Linked DNA regions of Pelodiscus sinensis. The protein of the gene in region 2 binds, or shares a complex with, the protein of the main gene of each other region. Links are inferred from orthologs where the notes say so. Each region holds a gene or a part of one and is shown on either strand. Other genes may lie near its edges.

What was found. The genes of interacting proteins can lie anywhere in the genome.
Region 1: the proteins of RPTOR (region 2) and EIF4EBP1 are in contact, whole or in part, in a cryo-EM structure (PDB 6BCX), measured with the Homo sapiens proteins. The link is inferred for Pelodiscus sinensis from reciprocal best matches to the Homo sapiens genes RPTOR and EIF4EBP1. Residues at the interface, in NP_065812.1 of Homo sapiens: Arg54, Arg305, Thr317, Asp321, Phe337, Arg338, Leu341, Ala344, Arg348, Leu437, Gln438, Leu440, Leu441, Ser442, Gln443, Arg446, Tyr475, Lys478, Leu479, Gln481; in NP_004086.1 of Homo sapiens: Glu111, Ser112, Gln113, Phe114, Glu115, Met116, Asp117, Ile118.

The regions. Positions count from the first base shown.
Region 1 is NC_134738.1:15,246,945-15,256,692, reverse strand, and holds the start of EIF4EBP1 (eukaryotic translation initiation factor 4E-binding protein 1), read right to left. Parts: upstream 4,535-9,748; 5' UTR 4,419-4,534; coding exon 4,277-4,418; intron 1-4,276. UniProt on the Homo sapiens protein: Repressor of translation initiation that regulates EIF4E activity by preventing its assembly into the eIF4F complex: hypophosphorylated form competes with EIF4G1/EIF4G3 and strongly binds to EIF4E, leading to repress translation.
Region 2 is NC_134730.1:28,324,595-28,334,800, reverse strand, and holds the start of RPTOR (regulatory-associated protein of mTOR), read left to right. Parts: upstream 1-6,307; 5' UTR 6,308-6,737; coding exon 6,738-6,902; intron 6,903-10,206. UniProt on the Homo sapiens protein: Component of the mechanistic target of rapamycin complex 1 (mTORC1), an evolutionarily conserved central nutrient sensor that stimulates anabolic reactions and macromolecule biosynthesis to promote cellular biomass generation and growth.

The DNA of each region.
Region 1 (9,748 bases), on a different chromosome or scaffold from region 2:
ACGATTCAAAACAGCTTTCCAAGGGGAGGGCTGCAACATCTCATTTCAGGATTGGACATTTAATACACTACCCCCATCCAACCAAATAGCATCAAGGAATGCTGCCTCCCCCCCATCCCCGTTTGCTCCCATGTTCTTTGCTGGTGGTAGGCATGTATACAAGAAATCAGAGATAATCTCCCTCCTGGAATGTTAGGTATATTCATGTTCCATAGCCTGTCTGTAAAGTCGTGTAATTAGATATTAAATGTTGAGGAAACTCATTAGCATAATTTCCAAGACATTGGAACCTTTCAAAATTGAAGATAATTGTGATAAGTTTCTGCAGATCAAGGCAGTGGACTTTAACTAGCAACATCTCCAATTCTGATCTATGCTCCAGGACAAGTGCAGTTAATCAGGATTTGGGTAAAGAAACAACCCTAGCCCACAGTTATAGGCTTTGGTAGCTGGAAGACGTACAGAATAAGGACAGGGTTCCTAGAACTCAGCTAGCATACTAGGTATTATGAGTACATTTCATAACAGACTTGGAAGAACTGTACATTCCTGGCTTACATTCATTCACACAGTCACATGCCTCGAGCTATTGCTTAGCAAACTACATAACTTGTATTCCATGCTTTGATTTATTATAACAGTTGTCTTAGAAGGGGATGCACGGACGTGCAGAATTCATACATAGGACCCCTTCCATCAGGAGAAACACAAAACCGATCCATTAAAAATCTTAATTTCAATTCTCCATATTATAAGAACCATTTGATGAAACACCCCGCATCAGCTTCTGCAAAACAATCTTTACTCCCTGCCCCAGGACAGCTGATTCGTGGCTTTCCCCTCCTGTCCAACAGAGCTCCAGCCATGCATGGGGGAGGGGTTCTGACTGGCAGAAGTTCTCTTCTATAAGCTTCTGGTCAATCTTGCTCTCTGTGAGGGTTTGTATTGCCCCCAGCGCTGTATCTGAGCATGTCCCTGCACTGTGTAATTGGAGGACAGGCATCTGGTCCTTGTTAGGGTTCCCATCAAACTAAGTTCATTGGAAGTAGGAAGCTGTGATACTTTGATCAAAGGTCTTGGAAGACAAGAGGAACAAAAAAAATCGCATCCTCACCCACTGCTCCCTTCTTAAGGGCACCCTGACAATGCTTGGAAGCGATGCGCAAGTTACAAAATCCTAGCAAGTGCTAACAAGATACTGGCTCAGCAGTTTCTGTCTTCCAAAGCCCAGTGGCTCTAACCGGTTCACTGTCTGGTCCCTGTGCAGCCCAGACACACAAGGAACGCAGGCTCAGGCCCTTACAGGGACAGCCTGCAGGGGAACCCCAGCTGCCAAACTCATCAGAGTCTCATTCCTCATTTCAGTTGCTGCCTTTGGTCCATATTAGGGGCCATTCAGCAGTCTCACCGCACGGCCAAGCGTACTTTATTCTCTCAACTTCTCCCGGCCAAGATGGAAGAGGTAACCAAGCCCCTCCGGGCCACAACCGTTCGCATAGTGTAAGTACACTGAGCTGGAAGCACCCCGGCACAGCGAGGTCTTGCCAACCCAAAGTCCATTAGCAATGGGTGGAAGGGGACAGGCACCGTACACTGCAGGAACATTCTTCATACTGGCAAATCCCTCTGCCAGCAACCAAACTGGGATGCTCAAAACCATCCGCTCTGAGCTCCTCACGGACAACAGCAGTCTACAGTGGAGGTGAGGGATGCCAGTGGTGCCTCTCAGGGTCACCTAAGGACGAGTGAATCCAGGTAGAGCTCCTCTGTCTTAGTGGAGCCATCCTACAGTCAGAACTGGGGAGCAAGCAGCAAAGAAGAGCTGCCTCGCATGTGTGCAGTGATTGAAAAACCAAACTGTTTCCCTTTCTTTCTGCAGTGTGAAGATTAGCCTATTGCAGAAAGCCTATTACAGAGCCTGCAGAAGCTTGGAGCTGTGAAGAGCATCCTAATCAGTGGTCTTTAATAAATCATTCAAAACCTTATAAGCTCACTGCAATAGTACTGACAAGAGACTAAAATGACTATTTCAGGTCTAGCTCTCTCATGTTCTCTGAGAAATCACATTCCAGTATCACCCCATAACTCATTTTCACTCAAGGTAAAGGAAGAAAACATATATTGAGCTGGCTTTGAACTTACCGAAATTAGGCAAACCACTTTTAAATTACAGGACAATGCTTTCTGAAAGCCATTTGTGCTTCCAAACTTCCTCAGCACTAGACTTGGGATATGTCTGTGCTACAGACACAGCTGCAGCTATGTTACTATCGTGAAGACAGTACCCCAATTAAAGATTCTGCCTTCAATCTAACAGTGTCTCTACCAGTGCTTAGGTTGGCTTAACTATGTCCCTCAGCTAGGTCAACCTAAAGTTTAGGTCTGTAGATCAGGCCTCTAATACACCAATGGAACCGTGATAATTTGCACCAATGGCTGAACCGGTTACTGCAGATTTCTGATTTTGGCACTAAATCCTGTATTCCCCACACAGTTCCACTGAAATCAATGGAACTGTTTGGGAGATTAAAGAGTATAATATTTGGCTCTTTAAAATTAGAAATGGGTGTTCCATGCCCTATTACATTTGCTCCTTTATTCTGAAGTGCAACCTGATGTATTGTTTACAATGCTTCACTGTACACGTGTTAATAAACAGTAACATTTTGCTAAAGGTTTTTACACCTAAACCTTTCAAACGAACAAGCATTTGTTTAACATAGGAATGCACCTGAGAACTGTCTCTGCTCCTGAAAGCTTACTGAACAGTGAAGTGCAATTGCCTTTTCATAATAATTATTTGGTTTATGGATCAGCACAGGAAAGATCTGTGTGGCTGATCCGTGTTAAGAACTGTTAGTATTTGCTTAATTCAAATTTTTTAAAGGGAGATTTGAAGGAATTTTATTTTAGAGTCTATTGACAGTAGTCTTGGGAAAGAGAGATTAAAACTCCATTGTTAATCATTCTAAGAATAGCCATGGGAACATAAACATATGGTAAGTACTAACAGCAATAAAATGTAAGTTAACAGATAAAAGCAGAACTGAAGTGCGATATGGAGCTTTTAAACTCACCCTAGTTTTTCAAATCTTAAAAACAAGCACACATTAAAATATTCATTCTCTGGATTATCCAAATCACTGAGAAACTAAACAGGATTCTTGAAAATAAAGGCTATTACTAGTGATTAGATATTTTGAGAAACGTCCTCTTTATCAGAGGCAGCTGCACAGGGTAACAGGCAGCCAGTCTGTGAGGGGAGCTGGTTTTTAAACTGGCTCCCCTCATAGACCAGCTCCCTCCTGGTACCCCACGCTTCTGCCTCTAATACAGTGGCTGCCGGCCCCACCCCCGGGGACTAGAGAATAGTCAACTAACGGATAAGAATTCATGAGGTGACTCGACTATTCGATTAACCGATACTTAGCATCCCTAACAAATATACTGCAGAACATGTATTGGAAAATAATCAGTTGATCCCAATTCTCCTAAACTTGTGACAATTGTTGCAAGAGGTGCCTAATGTTTAAGAATTCCTACTGCTTGCGCTCTCAGAGCACAAAATGGATACCTAGCACAACTGAAACTAAGACCTTCAGTTTCTGTGCCAAGACTCTCTCAGGCTAGCCCAACTGTTGTTGTTGTTTTTAAACACACCCATTTAATCTTCATACTTCTGTCTTTTTTTTTCTTTTTTTAAAAAAACTACTATTGTTACATGCACCTCCTAAGGTCACTTGACATGTAATATTAGTGAAAAAAAACCTCCTACCCACTTATTTACATTGTACATTTGACAGAACTTTGAATATATTCAATTCAGGGCTGGACTTAGGGAAACAGGTGTCCTGGGTGAACCAGTGTTTGGTGCTAACCCCCGTGGGCACAGCCCCGCCTGTTTCCCTCTGGCACCTACGAGCGCCCCAGTCTCGGGACCCCCAAACTATTGCCCCCTATCCCTGCGTCGGGCCCCCTTTGTCCCCAAGCTCTGCACAGTGCTCCCTCCCTCCCTCCCTCACCCGCCCCGCGACACCGCCTCCCTGCCGAGCGCCCTACGGGCTGGGGAAGTGGGTGCACACGAGGCAGCGGCGGGCAGGCGGGGGGGGGGGCTCTAAACGGGCCCCCTGGGCGCCCCCCCAAACATGCAGCGGGGCAAGTTCCAGCAGCGGCGCGTTCCCAACCCCCAGCCCCGTCCGGCCCCTCGCGCTCCGCTCACGGCTCCGCGGGGGGGGGGGGGGGGGAGGTCCCGCCCGGGGGGCCCCGCCCCACTCACCGCCCGGCGTGGTGCCGAACACGGTGCCCCCCGGCGTGGTGCTGTAGTGGCCGGGCGGCAGCGCGGCCCCGTCGGGCAGGCTGAGGCGCTTGGCGGGGATGGCCCGGCTCGGCGTGTGGCCCTGGCGGCAGCTCCCGGACATGGCGACTGGGGCTGCCCGAGCGCCGCGCGCCCCCTGCCCCGGCCCGCGCCCGCCCGGAAGCAGCCGGCGGCCACGCCCCTTCCGCCCCGCGCACGGCACCACGGCAACGGCGGCGCCTGAGGCCCCTCCCCTTCCCCTGCCACTGGCTACTCCTCAGCCCCGCCCCTCCTCCAACTGCCCCTCCCTCCTCCTCCAGCCCCGCCCCTTCCTATCCCACTGGCTACTCCTCAGCCCCGCCCCTCCTCCAACTGCCCCTCCCTCCTCCTCCAGCCCCGCCCCTTCCCATCCCACTGGCTGCTCCTCAGCCCCGCCCCTCCTCCAACTGCCCCTCCCTCCTCCTCCAGCCCCGCCCCTTCCCATCCCACTGGCTACTCCTCAGCCCCGCCCCTCCTCCAACTGCCCCTCCCTCCTCCTCCAGCCCCGCCCCTTCCCCTGCCACTGGCTACTCCTCAGCCCCGCCCCTCCTCCAACTGCCCCTCCCTCCTCCTCCAGCCCCGCCCCTTCCCCTGCCACTGGCTACTCCTCAGCCCCGCCCTCTCCTCCAACTGCCCCTCCCTCCTCCTCCAGCCCCGCCCCTTCCCCTGCCACTGGCTACTCCTCAGCCCCGCCCCTCCTCCAACTGCCCCTCCCTCCTCCTCCAGCCCCGCCCCTTCCCATCCCACTGGCTGCTCCTCAGCCCCGCCCCTCCTCCAACTGCCCCTCCCTCCTCCTCCAGCCCCGCCCCTTCCCATCCCACTGGCTGCTCCTCAGCCCCGCCCTCTCCTCCAACTGCCCCTCCCTCCTCCTCCAGCCCCGCCCCTTCCCATCCCACTGGCTACTCCTCAGCCCCGCCCCTCCTCCAACTGCCCCTCCCTCCTCCTCCAGCCCCGCCCCTTCCCATCCCACTGGCTACTCCTCAGCCCCGCCCCTCCTCCAACTGCCCCTCCCTCCTCCTCCAGCCCCGCCCCTTCCCATCCCACTGGCTGCTCCTCAGCCCCGCCCTCTCCTCCAACTGCCCCTCCCTCCTCCTCCAGCCCCGCCCCTTCCCATCCCACTGGCTGCTCCTCAGCCCCGCCCCTCCTCCAACTGCCCCTCCCTCCTCCTCCAGCCCCGCCCCTTCCCATCCCACTGGCTGCTCCTCAGCCCCGCCCCTCCTCCAACTGCCCCTCCCTCCTCCTCCAGCCCCGCCCCTTCCCATCCCACTGGCTGCTCCTCAGCCCCGCCCCTCCTCCAACTGCCCCTCCCTCCTCCTCCAGCCCCGCCCCTTCCCATCCCACTGGCTACTCCTCAGCCCCGCCCTCTCCTCCAACTGCCCCTCCCTCCTCCTCCAGCCCCGCCCCTTCCCATCCCACTGGCTGCTCCTCAGCCCCGCCCTCTCCTCCAACTGCCCCTCCCTCCTCCTCCAGCCCCGCCCCTTCCCATCCCACTGGCTGCTCCTCAGCCCCGCCCTCTCCTCCAACTGCCCCCCCTCCTCCTCCAGCCCCGCCCTCTCCTCCAACTGCCCCTCCCTCCTCCTCCAGCCCCGCCCTCTCCTCCCAGCCCCTCCCCTTCCCATCCCACTGGCTGCTCCTCAGCCCCGCCCTCTCCTCCAACTGCCCCCCCTCCTCCTCCAGCCCCGCCCTCTCCTCCAGCTGTCCCTCCCTCCTCCTCCAGCCCCGCCCTCTCCTCCCAGCCCCTCCCCTTCCCATCCCCCTTCCTCCCCTTGCTGCCAGTCCGTCCCCTCCCCATCCCCCTGCCCGTCAGCCTGCTCCTCTCCCCTGCCCCGGCTCCTCTTGCTGCCCCAGCCTCCCCCCAAGCGCCATGTCTCCCCTCCCCTCCCCTGCCCATTCTCCCCCCCGCAGATCACCCTTCCCTAATCACTCGTCCCCCTGCCCCCACTAGCCCTCGCCCCGTGCCAGTAGGACGCGTGGCAGCCTGCTGCTACTCTGCACGCCCAGTCCGGCCCAGGGGCTTTGTAGTCCCGGCAGACAAAGCAGGGCAAGGAAGGAAATACCTTTGGGCAATATGAATCATAGAATCATAGGACGGGAAGGGACCTCGAGAGGTCATCGAGTCCAGCCCCTCGCCCTCACGGCAGGTTTGGGAGCAGCCTCCCAGGCATTGCCATGGCCGTGGGCTGGTTTGGTGGTAGGGGGCTGAGAAAGGATTTCTGCGACAGAGGTTCTCCGCCTGTCCCACAGTGTGCTCCCATGTGATGAGCGCGTTGGGACCATTTCCCCTCTAACCGTGCCCCCACTCCTGCTACCCAGCTTCCTCCTGCAGCGGGGCACTTCACACCCTGCGTCCCTCCCGAGAAGGCAGCCACAGCAAGGGTGGTCCTCCTGGGAGGCCTTCAGCACCGCTCAAGACATTTGTGCAGTGATAGAATTCACAGCCTACTCCCCTGGGCGCTTGGCGGGTGATGAGTGTCACAAACGCGTGAACCTGCATTCCCGCTGAAAGCTCACCTGTCGAGGTGACGGGAGAGAGAGGCTGACACAAAGCACCACAAATGGCCCTTTCCGGAATTCCTGATTCAATATCAGCATCGTATGGAGTCAAACAAATGCCGCGACTCACACAAAAGGCAGTACCAGAGAGAGCGCCAGTCTTTCTCTCTCTCTGCCTCTGCATTTCATACAGTACTCACCACCACACTGTAGGAGGGTATTTTACCTCTGTATTTGGCGCGGGTGGGACGGCGGCTGCAATACTGTGTCCAGTTCTGGTTCCCATAGTTCAGCACAGATGTGGCTGCATTGGAGAGGGTTCAGAGACTAGCCAGGGGAACCATGAAAGGACGAGAAAGCATGCCTTGTAGTGAAAATCAATCCAGTGGCACCTTAAAAACTAACAGGGTTATTATGGTATATGCTTTCATGAAAGCGTATGCCATAATAAAATTCGTTTTTCTGCAAGTGTCACCAGATTCCTTGTTGTTTTGGTAGAAAGTAACAGAGCTACTCTTGATATTGTGTAGTGATAGACATATTTAGTTTTAAGAATGGGAAGGTTAAAGGGTAACTTTATTACAATCTAGAAATACCTATACAGAGAACAAATATTTAACAAGGGGCTCTTCAGTCTAGCAGTGAAAGATATTACATGATCCAAGGGCTGGAGGCTGAAGCAAGACTAATTCAGACTGGAAATCAGGTGTAATGGTGAAAGCAGTTAACCATTGGAACAATTTTAACCAGGGTCTTGGCAAATTCTCCATCACTACAATATTTATATCGCGGTCCAATATTTTTCTATGATCTACTCTAGGAATTAGTTCAGAGACGTTCTTTGGCTGGCTAGCTGCTTACAACAATCCCTTTGGAATCTCTGAATCAAAAGCAGGGATCCCACAACTCTGAACACTCACTTCAGATTGGATCTGGGTCAGACCCACATTCGATTCCAAGAATTGATGCCCCACAGATCTGTTACTGACCTAGTGGTTCCTAGTTTCAAGATAAATGCTGAGCATGGCTTAATGACACTGTGATGCAGACGTGGGGTTGTAAGTGCTCTGGAGGATAGGGTCAAAACTCAAAATGATCTGGACAAACTGGAGAAGTGATCTGAGGTCAATAGGATGAAATTCAACGAGGACTAATGCAAAGTGCTCCACTTAGGAAGGGACAATCAGTTGCACACATACAAAATGGGAAATGACTGTCTAGGGTCCTGCAGAAAGATGGGGGGGGGGGGGGGGGGAGGAGAGGGCAGTGTCACAGCAGATCACAAGCTAAATACGAGTGAATGGTGCAACACTGTTGCAAAAAAGCTCACACCATTTTGGGATGCGTTGGCAGGAGTGTTGCGAGCAAGACATGAGAAGTCATTCCTCTGCTTTATCCTGCGATGATTAGGCCTCAGTAGGACTGGTGTCCAGTTCTGGGTACCACCTTTCTGCAAAGATGTGGACAAATTGGAGAAAGTCCAGAGATGAGCGACCAAAAAGGATTAAAAGGTTATTTAGAAAACTTGATCTGTGAGGGAAGACTGAAAAAATTGGGTTTGTTTACTCTGGAAAAGAGAAGATGGAGAGGGGACATGCTCCAGTTTTTAAGTACATAGATGTAGCCTAAGGTGCCACAGGACTCCTTGTTGTTTTTTGTTTTGTGTGTGTTTGAGATAGGTGTATATGCCTGGATGTTAGCATGCAGGCATGTCAGTGTATATAGGTGTGTGAGCATGCACGGACACATGGGTATGTGTGTGTGGGTGCGCATACAGGTGTGTTTTGGGTGTAACTGTGTTGTTATTGAGTTTGGTCCCTTACCGTGAATGGCTGTGCACACACAAGTCCCAGAAGATGTGATGAGCAGCCGTGTGTAAGTCTGCAGTTTTGCTTGGTGTCCGGGTATGTCTAGGATTAAAGCTTTCTTGGCGCCCCCAGGTGACTAAGATGAACAGTGTTTGTGCGTTGGAGCAAAGTCACCCCTCTTGTGGTGAGTCATTTGGCAGCCACGATCTGCAGGACCACCCTGCCACTCCGATTCCAGCTCAGCCCTTCTCCCCAAGGGGCCGGTCCATCTGCAGGCCCCCTGCCCGCCTGCTGGCACTTTAGCAAGCTGATGAAAGGTTGGCCACATGTTTGTATTCATGCAAACGAGGTGATTCGTTAAATCGATGCCACACAGCTGGCCTGGCCACCACTTACAACTCTCCCGGCTGGCGTTCTGCATGGCAGCTGTGGGGTCCAACTGCCGCTAGGACGTATGGAGATGAGGATGCCCAAATGATAGGCTAACCTACGGAAGGGGAAAGGTGTCAGCTACTGTCTGTCACCCTTGGAAACGACTTTGCATTTTTGGCCTGACAGAGACCGTTTAAAGGGACAAACATGACAGCAGACACTGGCCCAGAGCTGTAAAAGGCTTTTACTAACAGACTACAATACGCACACTGAAAAGTTCCTTCCTTCCTTCTCCCTCTCTCCTTCCTTCCTTCCTTCCCTTCTACCTACCTACACTATGAAATTGTGTTGCTTCATTTAACTCAGTACAGCTAATGCAGTACAACCCACTCCCGTGCAGGCAGTTGTGTTGGCATATTTATACTTATGAAAGTAGTTATGTGCAAGAAATGGAATAATTAGACTAGTACAAGTCACCTGTTTATTGCTATTTCTGTGTCCGTTCTTGGTTATTTTGCGGTATAACTAATTTGTTAAAAAGTCGACTAACTCTATCCAAGTCAACTAACTCTACCAGGGAAACTTTCAAGTGCAGGCCAGTCCAAAGGTCCATCTAGCCCAGTGTCCTGTTTTCCATCCCAGAGGGAGTGAACATAACAGGGAATCATCCAGTGATCCCTCCCCTGTCACCCATTCCCAGCCTCTGACAAACAGAGACTAAGGTCACTATCCCTGCCGGTCC
Region 2 (10,206 bases):
TGCCCTAACAATTAATTAGACTGGCAATCACATAAGCTGTTTGAAAAGCTAACTGGCTGCACCTGGCCTGGGACAGCCAGTCAGCTCCCTCAGGGCTGGAGCTAGCATCAGCATGAGGTGGGTCAGGTCCCAGTGGCCTAATGAATAAGGCCTCAGCCTCCAGATCTTGGGATTATGGGTTTAAGTCCCAGGCATGCCCCTGCTGAACAGCCAGGCAGCTGCCACCACCATCTTCCCCAGGGCTAGGCCCAGCATTAGCTGAAGGCAGGGATATCAATGAGCCAGTGTCTCCATTTCCCCACATTTTGCACAGTCCTTTCCACGAGAACAATGTCAAGGGGGTAAAATGCTGTCACATCAAATTAGCAACAATGTCCACTCATGGTGCAGGGAACAACAGAGTTCTGCTGGTGTAAATCGTGTCAGGCCCCATGACTTAAAACAGGGGTGGGCAAATACCAGCCTGCAGGCTGGATCTGGTCTGCTAGGCCCTTATACCACCCTATTACCTGTGCCTCCACAGGTACAGGGGATCACAGCTCCCATTGGCCCCTTTCCCAGCCAATGAAAGCTGCAATTGACTATACCTGCAGAGATACAGGTAAATATAGCAGCAGAGGCCAACCAGGGGCTAACCCTGGTGAACCACTGCCATTTTAGTGCTCACCTGTGACTTAAAAATCGCAGGCAGATTTCATTTTAAAAGCTCTTCTTACAAACTTAATGGCTGTGTCTACATTGGCACCCTTTTCCGGGAATAAGGGATCTTCCGGAAAAGGGTTTATTTTCCGCAAGATCCCGTCTAGACTGGCGCTTTTCTCCGGCAAAACCCCGAGCCGGAAAAAAGCAGCAACCATGTTCATGCAAATGCCGCGGGGGATATTTAAATCCCCCGTGGCATTTGCAATTCCGACTGGTCTCATTAGCATCCCTTTTCCGGAAAAGGGTGCCAATGTAGACACAGCCAATGTGTACATTTTGGGGTAGGTGAGTCTGAAAAGCCTGCTTTGCGATCCGTTTCGTGGTGCTTCCTGAGTGATAGCAATGTAAATTGTGTGGTTTTGAGTGTGTCTGCTTTTAGGCCCCAGTGTTAATTGATGAGCTAGTCTGTTCTGTGTTCCACAAGGCCATATCATTAGAAGAACGCAGAGGACATCGTGTCAAACAGCTCCTCCCAATGACACTCGAGCTGGAAATATCGTATGGTTAGACAATTAAGAGGAGTGACTTAGAGGTCCTGGAAGATATACTGGTGGGTTTGTCAGAACTCCATGGTTTCCCTTTCATTCCCTCACTTCCTCCCTGAGAACAAAGGGGGACCATAAAGTTTTACTTGATTCTCCTGGAGCACAAGACACCATCATAAATTTGCTTTCTTTTGAGGTTGCTTTTTGTTCAGTTACATCATTTTCTGCTCAATTTATCACAAAAGCTTGACATACACAAACAAATCCCAGCCCATTCAACAACTTCAGGCAGAAAACCAATGCCTGGCAGGATTTTAACAAAAAAGTGCTGCGAACATAAAACCCATTCAACTCCTGCCCAATGTCCCAGTCTGCATAAAATAGCACCCCCTCTTCTCCCCTTTGTGAATCGTTTATTCCAAAATAATTATACATACATTTCCTCTTTTCTAAAACGTCAGGGAGTTTCAGCATGAAAACCTAGACATGTGGTGGGTACGGGGGGGAGGGGAGAATTCCCTTCAGCCCCCAGATTTGGGGAACACTCTGCTGCTGTGCATAATGTAAACAGGAATCCCCATGACCAAACTTATTTATACACTTTCACGGTACCATTTGTGTCAGAGAAATCAATCATTTTCCCCTTTAACTTATGTAAAGTGGATTCTGGATCAGACACATCCCTTAGGGGTGGATCTATTCATGGAGATTCTCTCTGTCCTAGTAAGGCGGAGAGGATGGAAAAGGACAAAATGCAGGCAGGATCTGATCAGAAACAGTGACATGAAGAAGAGTCACATTCAATTACACCAGCAGACAGCTAAAAAGTGACACGTTTTTAATGTGCTTATAGACAAAGGCTAGAAATCTAAATAATAAGATGGGTGAACTAGAGTGCCTGGTATGGAATGATGGTGTTGATATGTAAACCAGAGGCCCCGAGAAGGCTGAGTGAAGGCTGCTCTATGGCCTGAGATAAGCGCAACTTAGTTTTTTAGCTCATGTGGTAGAAGAGGCTCATGGCTTTAGCCTCTAAGGATGCAGGTTCAATCCCACCCACCGACAGCTGTTGGTTTTACAGATATAATAGGTGGTGTCCCCCTGGGACCTGTACTGGGACCAGTCCTATTCACCTGTGCAGCTGCCTATTTAACATTGTTCAAGTACTTAAGGACCCCCCATGGGACCTGCCGTAGCCTGGGGAGGATGGCCTCTTCTTTGGCCCCAACCTAATCTGGTTTCCAGGCTGCCATGGCTTAGGCAGCCCAGCCCTGAACCGTGCCATAGTAGCTCGGCCCAGCCCTATCTGCGGCACCAGGATCTGCTGTGACCAGGGCAGCCCTTCCCCAGCTCAAACACATCCCTGAACTGGAACCTATGGGGAGAAGTGCCTTTCCCTTCTAGTGCAGGTGCTGCTGCGAGGAGTGAGAGCTGGGGGGAGTCTTCTCCATCTTCACAGTAGCCCTGGAGCACCCTCCTTCACCTTAACTCTGTTTGTCAGAGGCTGGGATGGGCAACAGGGGCAGGATCGCTTGATGATTCCCTGTTCTGTTCACTCCCTCTGGGGCACCTGGCATTGGCCACTGACGGTAGACAGGACACTGGGCTAGATGGGCCTTCGGTCTGAGCCAGTCTGGCCGTTCTTATGTTCTCGTCAATACTAAATGCTGTTTGTTTTATTGTGAAAAAGTCCAACTATAAATGTATGGATACCATGAAGTTTTTTTTTAAAAAAAAATCAGGACTCTCCATATATTGTCCTGATACAATAGGATAAAAATAGGATCCAATCCTGTTTATTATGTATTATTTATTATCTTTCAGGTACTTTGTGCCAACTGCTGTAAATCAGAATAACCTCAGTGAAGTTAATGGAGCTACAACACCCATTCATGTGGCCCTTACACATCGGCTGCGTCTAGATTGGCATGATTTTCCGGATATGCTTTTAACAGAAAAGTTTTCTGTTAAAAGCATTTTCAGAACAGAGTGTCTAGATTGGCAGGACGCTTTTCCACAAAAGCACTTTTTGCAGAAAAGCGTCCGTGCCAATCTAGACGCGCTTTTCCGCAAAAAAAGCCCTGATCGCCATTTTCTCGATCGGGGCTTTTTTGCGCAAAACAAATCTCACCTGTCTACACTGGCCCTTTTGCGCAAAAGCTTATTGTGCAAAATAGTATTTCCGCAAGAAGCACTGATTTCTTACAGTAGGAAGTCAGTGCTTTTGTGGAAATTCAAGCGGCCAGTGTAGACAGCTGGCAAGTTTTTCTGGAAAAGCAGCTGATTTTCCGGAAAAACTGGCCAGTCTAGACACAGCCATAGGAAACAGATCCCTGAAACTAACTTCTGTTCTCCAAACACGAAAGGGTTATGCTCTTCATCCAGACATTGCTAGTCACGCTGATGGTCTTCTCAGAATTGTGCTGGACTAAGTCCAAGACCATGGTCCTCAAAGTTGATTTGGTTGCACAAAGATTTTGTGGTCTAAGTAAACAATTAAAAATCAGCAAAGCAGCTGCTATGTGAGGTTGAGTTCCAGCCAGAAGAAAGAAGGAAAACAATGCTTGTGAACAAAAAGAGTCAGCATTGGTAAGAAAGATGGGTATAATGTTAAAAAAAGAATTAGAAGCCCAACAGAGTGAAGCCAGTTACAAAAGTATTTGAAAAATAATTATCTGTGTTTGCTTCATTGAGCCTTGTTCACCTTTTCCGACTGTACTGGTCATGCCTGCTTTACATGCTGTGAATCTGTTGGAACAGGGATCACCTATATGTTCTGTATCTGTACAGTGCCTAGCACAATCAGGCGCCTGCTTGTATTAGGGCCCTCTGGGAGCTACTGCTAAACAAATACAAAATCAGTAGTAAGTATTTTGAGGTTATCCTCATGTGCCTGGCAAAGGAGTCTTCCTATGACAGAGCCGTTTCCTTAACTTATTAAATAAAGTAATGTATATTTAGGTTGTATTTAAAGCTTGCAGAAATTACACCTTTATTAAGTACTGTACTAGCCTAAGGCCCTTAGCCCTATGTCACACTTATATATCCAAAACATGGCCTATGTGTTGCTTAAGACTGAAGGAAAAGGAGGGAGTAATACCCTATAAACTGTAGGGTGTTTGTGGGAGTGCTGTGCAGAAAGTGGGGGTTCTGGGGTGTTTTGCGGAAGGTTGGGTTATTGAGGGGTGCTGTGCAGAATGTGGGGTTCTGGGGTGTTTTGCGGAAGGTTGGGTTATTGAGGGGTGCTGTGCGGAATGTGGGGGGTCTGGGGTGTTTTGCAGAAGGTTGGGTTATTGAGGGGGTGCTGTGCGGAATGTGGGGGGTCTGGGGTGTTTTGCGGAAGGTTGGGTTATTGAGGGGGTGCTGTGCGGAATGTGGGGGGTCTGGGGTGTTTTGCGGAAGGTTGGGTTATTGAGGGGTGCTGTGCGGAATGTGGGGGGTCTGGGGTGTTTTGCGGAAGGTTGGGTTATTGAGGGGGTGCTGTGCGGAATGTGGGGGGTCTGTGGTGTTTTTCGGAAGGTTGGGTTATTGAGGGGTGCTGTGCGGAATGTGGGGGGTCTGGGGTGTTTTGCGGAAGGTTGGGTTATTGAGGGGTGCTGTGCGGAATGTGGGGGTCTGGGGTGTTTTGCGGAAGGTTGGGTTATTGAGGGGTGCTGTGCGGAATGTGGGGTTCTGGGGTGTTTTGCGGAAGGTTGGGTTATTGAGGGGGTGCTGTGCGGAATGTGGGGGTTTTGGGGTGTTTTGCGGAAGGTTGGGTTATTGAGGGGTGCTGTGCGGAATGTGGGGGGTCTGGGGTGTTTTGCGGAAGGTTGGGTTATTGAGGGGGTGCTGTGCGGAATGTGGGGGGTCTGTGGTGTTTTTCGGAAGGTTGGGTTATTGAGGGGTGCTGTGCGGAATGTGGGGGGTCTGGGGTGTTTTGCGGAAGGTTGGGTTATTGAGGGGGTGCTGTGCGGAATGTGGGGTCTGGGGTGTTTTGCGGAAGGTTGGGTTATTGAGGGGTGCCGTGCGGAATGTGGGGTTCTGGGGTGTTTTGCGGAAGGTTGGGTTATTGAGGGGTGCTGTGCGGAATGTGGGGGGTCTGGGGTGTTTTGCGGGAGGTTGGGTTATTGAGGGGGTGCTGTGCGGAATGTGGGGTTCTGGGGTGTTTTGCGGAAGGTTGGGTTATTGAGGGGTGCTGTGCGGAATGTGGGGTTCTGGGGTGTTTTGCGGAAGGTTGGGTTATTGAGGGGTGCTGTGCGGAATGTGGGGTTCTGGGGTGTTTTGCGGGAGGTTGGGTTATTGAGGGGTGCTGTGCGGAATGTGGGGTTCTGGGGTGTTTTGCGGAAGGTTGGGTTATTGAGGGGTGCTGTGCGGAATGTGGGGTTCTGGGGTGTTTTGCGGAAGGTTGGGTTATTGAGGGGTGCCGTGCGGAATGTGGGGGTTCTGGGGTGTTTTGCGGGAGGTTGGGTTATTGAGGGGTGCCGTGCGGAATGTGGGGTTCTGGGGTGTTTTGCGGAAGGTTGGGTTATTGAGGGGTGCTGTGCGGAATGTGGGGGTTCTGGGGTGTTTTGCGGAAGGTTGGGTTATTGAGGGGTGCTGTGAGGAATGTGGGGTTCTGGGGTGTTTTGCGGAAGGTTGGGTTATTGAGGGGTGCTGTGCGGAATGTGGGGTTCTGGGGTGTTTTGCGGAAGGTTGGGTTATTGAGGGGTGCTGTGCGGAATGTGGGGGCCTGGGGTGTTTTGCGGGAGGTTGGGTTATTGAGGGGGTGCTGTGCGGAATGTGGGGGTCTGGGGTGTTTTGCGGAAGGTTGGGTTATTGAGGGGTGCTGTGCGGAATGTGGGGGTCTGGGGTGTTTTGCGGAAGGTTGGGTTATTGAGGGGTGCTGTGCGGAATGTGGGGGGTCTGGGGTGTTTTGCGGGGTGCTGTGGGGCGTTTGCAGGGTTTGGGGTGTTCTGGAGGGGAGGTGTTTGGGGGTTCTGAGGGGATAGTCTGGGGCACCCTTTGGAGGGGGTCACCCACGACACGCCCACCCCCAGGCACTGGGCCAGCAGGCTGCGAGGAGGAGGCTCCGCTCCCCCAGCCGAAGCGCGGTTCCGAACGCGGCCGGCGCGGCTTGTCTCCCGCGGCGGCCCGTCCCCGCGGTGCATTGTGGGCCGCGGCAATATGGCCGCCTCCTTGGTGTGCGCCTGAGGGGAGTTTCATTCGCCGGCGCTGCGGGACGGGGCCCCTCCGCCGGGGGCCGGAGCCAGCGCGCGTGGGGGAGGAGCCGGGGGAGGGCGCGATGGGCCGAGCCCGGCTCCCGCCGCAGCAGCCGGGGAGCGAGCCCTGCCCGCGGGGCTAGAGGCCCGGGCGCCCCGAGTGCTCAGCGACCCCTCCGCGCTGCCCGGGCCGAGGAGACGCCGCTTGCCTGCGGGCGCCCCCTGCACGGAGCCGGGTCGGGCCCCCCCGCGCCTGGGACCCCTCCCCCTCCTGCCCCTGAGCCCCGCCCGGCAGAGGGACCCGCCCGCCCCGGCCTGTGCGGGGGTGGAGAGCGCGGAGCCCTTGCGGCCGGACCCCTCCCCCCCTCTCCCGATGGAGGCTGAGATGCTGCAGTCGCCTCTCCTGGGGGTCGGAGGGGAGGAGGAGGAGTCGGACCTGACGGACTGGAACTTGCCTCTGGCCTTCATGAAGAAGCGGCACTGCGAGAAGATCGAGGGCTCCAAGTCTCTGGCCCAGAGCTGGAGGATGAAGGACCGGGTAATGCCCCGGGGCGGGGGACTTCTGCGGGGGGAGGGGTAGGTGGCGGCTCTGGTTTTGATCTGCCCCATGTGGTCGGAGGCACCGCTAGAGTTTGTTTCTAGTAGTCAGGTTTGCCTGGGGCCCAGGCACTTGTTGCATCGCTACCGTGGAAGTGAACACACGAAGAAGTTAATAGTGACGGTTACCAATGTTCCCTCTCATCTTTTCCATCCATGTGCGGAATACATTGGGGTGCACACAGAGGCAGGTGTGAATGTGCACCACTAGTAGAAACCCAAAACCTAGTTGTGGGTGCTCTGCTGATCAGCCGGGTGGCAGTTGAGCCTCTCTTGAGTGGCGGCACAAACACACAACTTAAAAGGAAGACTGTTCGAGTTCCTAATTATATGCATTTTAAATAGCTACACTGAGTTTCTGCGAAATTGGTGCTCTTCTGAGAAAGTAGTGGCATTAGTGGTGTCTTAAAACAGACCTCACTGGTTCATGTTAGTGGCATGGGCAGTGGGTGCAATGAATGCAAGTATTATATTCTGTGAAGTTCTCCTTTGAGGTTTTTTTAGTCCTCCATTGGCATGTTGCATGGAGTATATGAGTGATGCATGCTTACCAGAGCAATGTCAGGCTCATGATGTTTTTGAGATGGAAGATGCCTATTTGATCCTTAAACATGTTAACCTACAAGGCAGGATATTGTTTCTTGACCGAATATCTACAGAACATTAAATGGATGCTGTATTATGTAGGGATGTAAAATCCTATTTAATTGGCTAACTGGTTAAGCATATTAACTAATTAAAGGGGAGCTGAGCAAAGGCAGGAGCCTGGCTGGAGCACCACCCTCCCATGCATAGCAGGCCCCCTGTGGGGCTGGGGCAGCCCATAGCAGGTGGGGAGCTGCTCCACTCCCCCACTGGTTAACTTTAACCTGTAAGCCACACCTGTTAAGGATGAGACTGGTTAAACCTTCACATTCCTAGTCCTAAGCTTTGCTACTAAAAAGCAAACTTTTCTCTCAGGCCCATGTAGTCCTCTGTGGCTTGATTTCTACAGTTAAACTTTTCTGGTTAGATATAAAAGTGGAATGGAAAAGAGTGTGCACTTGATCTTCTCTCAGAACTGGCTATAACTTAAAGATTTTCTTAGCTCTTGGGTATATACTGCCTTTGTGTGTCTGTGTATGGACACCTAGTATGTTTCCAAACCACAGTTACCTGATAAACAACTAACTTTCTCAATTCATTATTACTGTAATCTCGAAAAAGGTGTTTTAAGAAGCAATTCTATATTGGGCCTCTAGTGGTGGACTAGATGGCACGCAATAGGTAGTGTCCTACCAGATTTATGGTCCATTTTTGCCAATTTCACCATCCTAGGATTTTGAAAATAGTAAATTTCATGATTTCAGCTAATTAAATCTGAAATTTCATGGTGGTGTAATTGTACACCATTACAATTACAGAGCCAAAAAGAAATTGTGGGTCTGGGTGTCACGGGATTATTGTAAAGGGGGAGGTTACAGTACTACTACCCTTACTTCTGCATGATTGCTGGTCGCAGTGCTGCCTTCAGAGCTGTGAAGCTGAAGAGTGGCAGCTGCTTGACTGGAATCCAGTTCTGAAGGCAGAGCTGCTACCAGCAGTACTGCAGAAATAGGGATGGTTTGCTGTGGTATTGCCACCCTTATTTCTGAGCTGCTGTCTACAGTCAGCAGCTGCCACTTTCTAGCGGCCCAGCTCTGAAGGCAGCAGCACAAAACACCCTTACTTCTGCGCTGCTGCTTTTATTTTTGGTTTTCTTGTTGTTACCACAAATAATTATGATGTTAGAATGTTCCATAATTGTGATAGAATTCTTATTTAATAACCACCTCCTCCGCACATCTTCCCCAAATTTCCACAGACACTTCAAATCTCTGGGAATGTTGAGATGACTTATTATTGACAATGTTAATTACAGTAGGGTTTTAGGAACACCAACATTAGGCCCCCATCTGTACAGTGTAGTACAGTGTCTGCTCTGAAGAATTTATAGTCTAAATAGGCAAGATAGACAAAGGGTAGTGGAAAAGGATCTAATGTACAAATAGAATGGACAAAATGATGACAGCAGTCGTACTAGTTCCACAGTATTTTTGGAGGGGAAGGGTTTTAGAGTACTGGGTACATGGGGAGGGTGCATGGGATAAGGAGGAGAGGAAGGGGTAAGCATGGAGTGAAGCTGAGGTAAAGAAACTGGGTAGAAGCTTGGAGCAAACATTCAACCAGCACAGATGAGAACAAGTCCAATCAGAGCTGTAGAAAATATCCTCTGATCCTGCTTAAACAGCTTCTGTGTATGCTTTGCCTGATTTCATTTCTGACTGGCTCCTCCCTATAGTTTTTTTACCCGAAGGGCGGATGGTGGGAGAGGAGGCGCTCTCTGGGTTCCATTGTCCCTACATAGTTCTGGGTCCAGGGGCATTGTGTGTGTAGGACTGTAGCCCCATTTTATTTCCTGGATCTCTGGTGCAACTTCAGCTGGATCATGAGATATTGAAGGTTTCAATTTACATAAGAGACATAGAAATGTCCTTTCTCTGTTAGGGATGTTAGATATTGTTTAATTTAATAATCGCGTAACCACACAAAATCTTAGCTGTTACACTATCATTCAATGGTCCTTGGGGTCAGGGCTGGTAGCCAATTCACTCCTGGTCCCACTTCCAGGAACCCCCTGCGGACAGGGGCTGTTCCGGCATCCTGTCTGCCTTCCCCCTGTGCTGTTGCCTTTATGCTGGCTCCCCACCCCTGCACTGGCTCCCTCACCCCCGCCCTGCCTCCTTCCCCCCCCCCCCCATGCTGCTTCTGTGGGAGGCAGCAAGGGGGGGGGGGAAGGGCAGGTGGCTCCACAGAGCTGGCACGTGTGGATCTTAAAAGCCAGTTCTCCATGAGCACTGGCTCCCACCTCTCCCTCCTCCCCTTGCTGCCTCAATCTAAATTCCCTCTAAGCTGCACAGCTTTCTATTATATCCCATGCTCTGCCTGTAGTGTGGAAAGGCACCTCTTCCTAAGCCCCAGAGCTGCTTTGGCCGGGGCGGCGGGAGAGGGGGGAAGAGGCACCTCTACTTGCTGGCTCCTGCATAGAACTGCCATGGCTGGGGGGAGAGATGCCTCTCCACTGGCCCTGAGTAGCTGCAATGAGAGATGACTGGGAGTTCTCTCTTCCTGGGGCAGCCTTCTCCCCTAAGGAGCCTGTGTCCCTAGTGAACGCTCACCCCACATCCCAACCCTCCTGCACTCCAGACTCCTTATTCCTGTCCCCA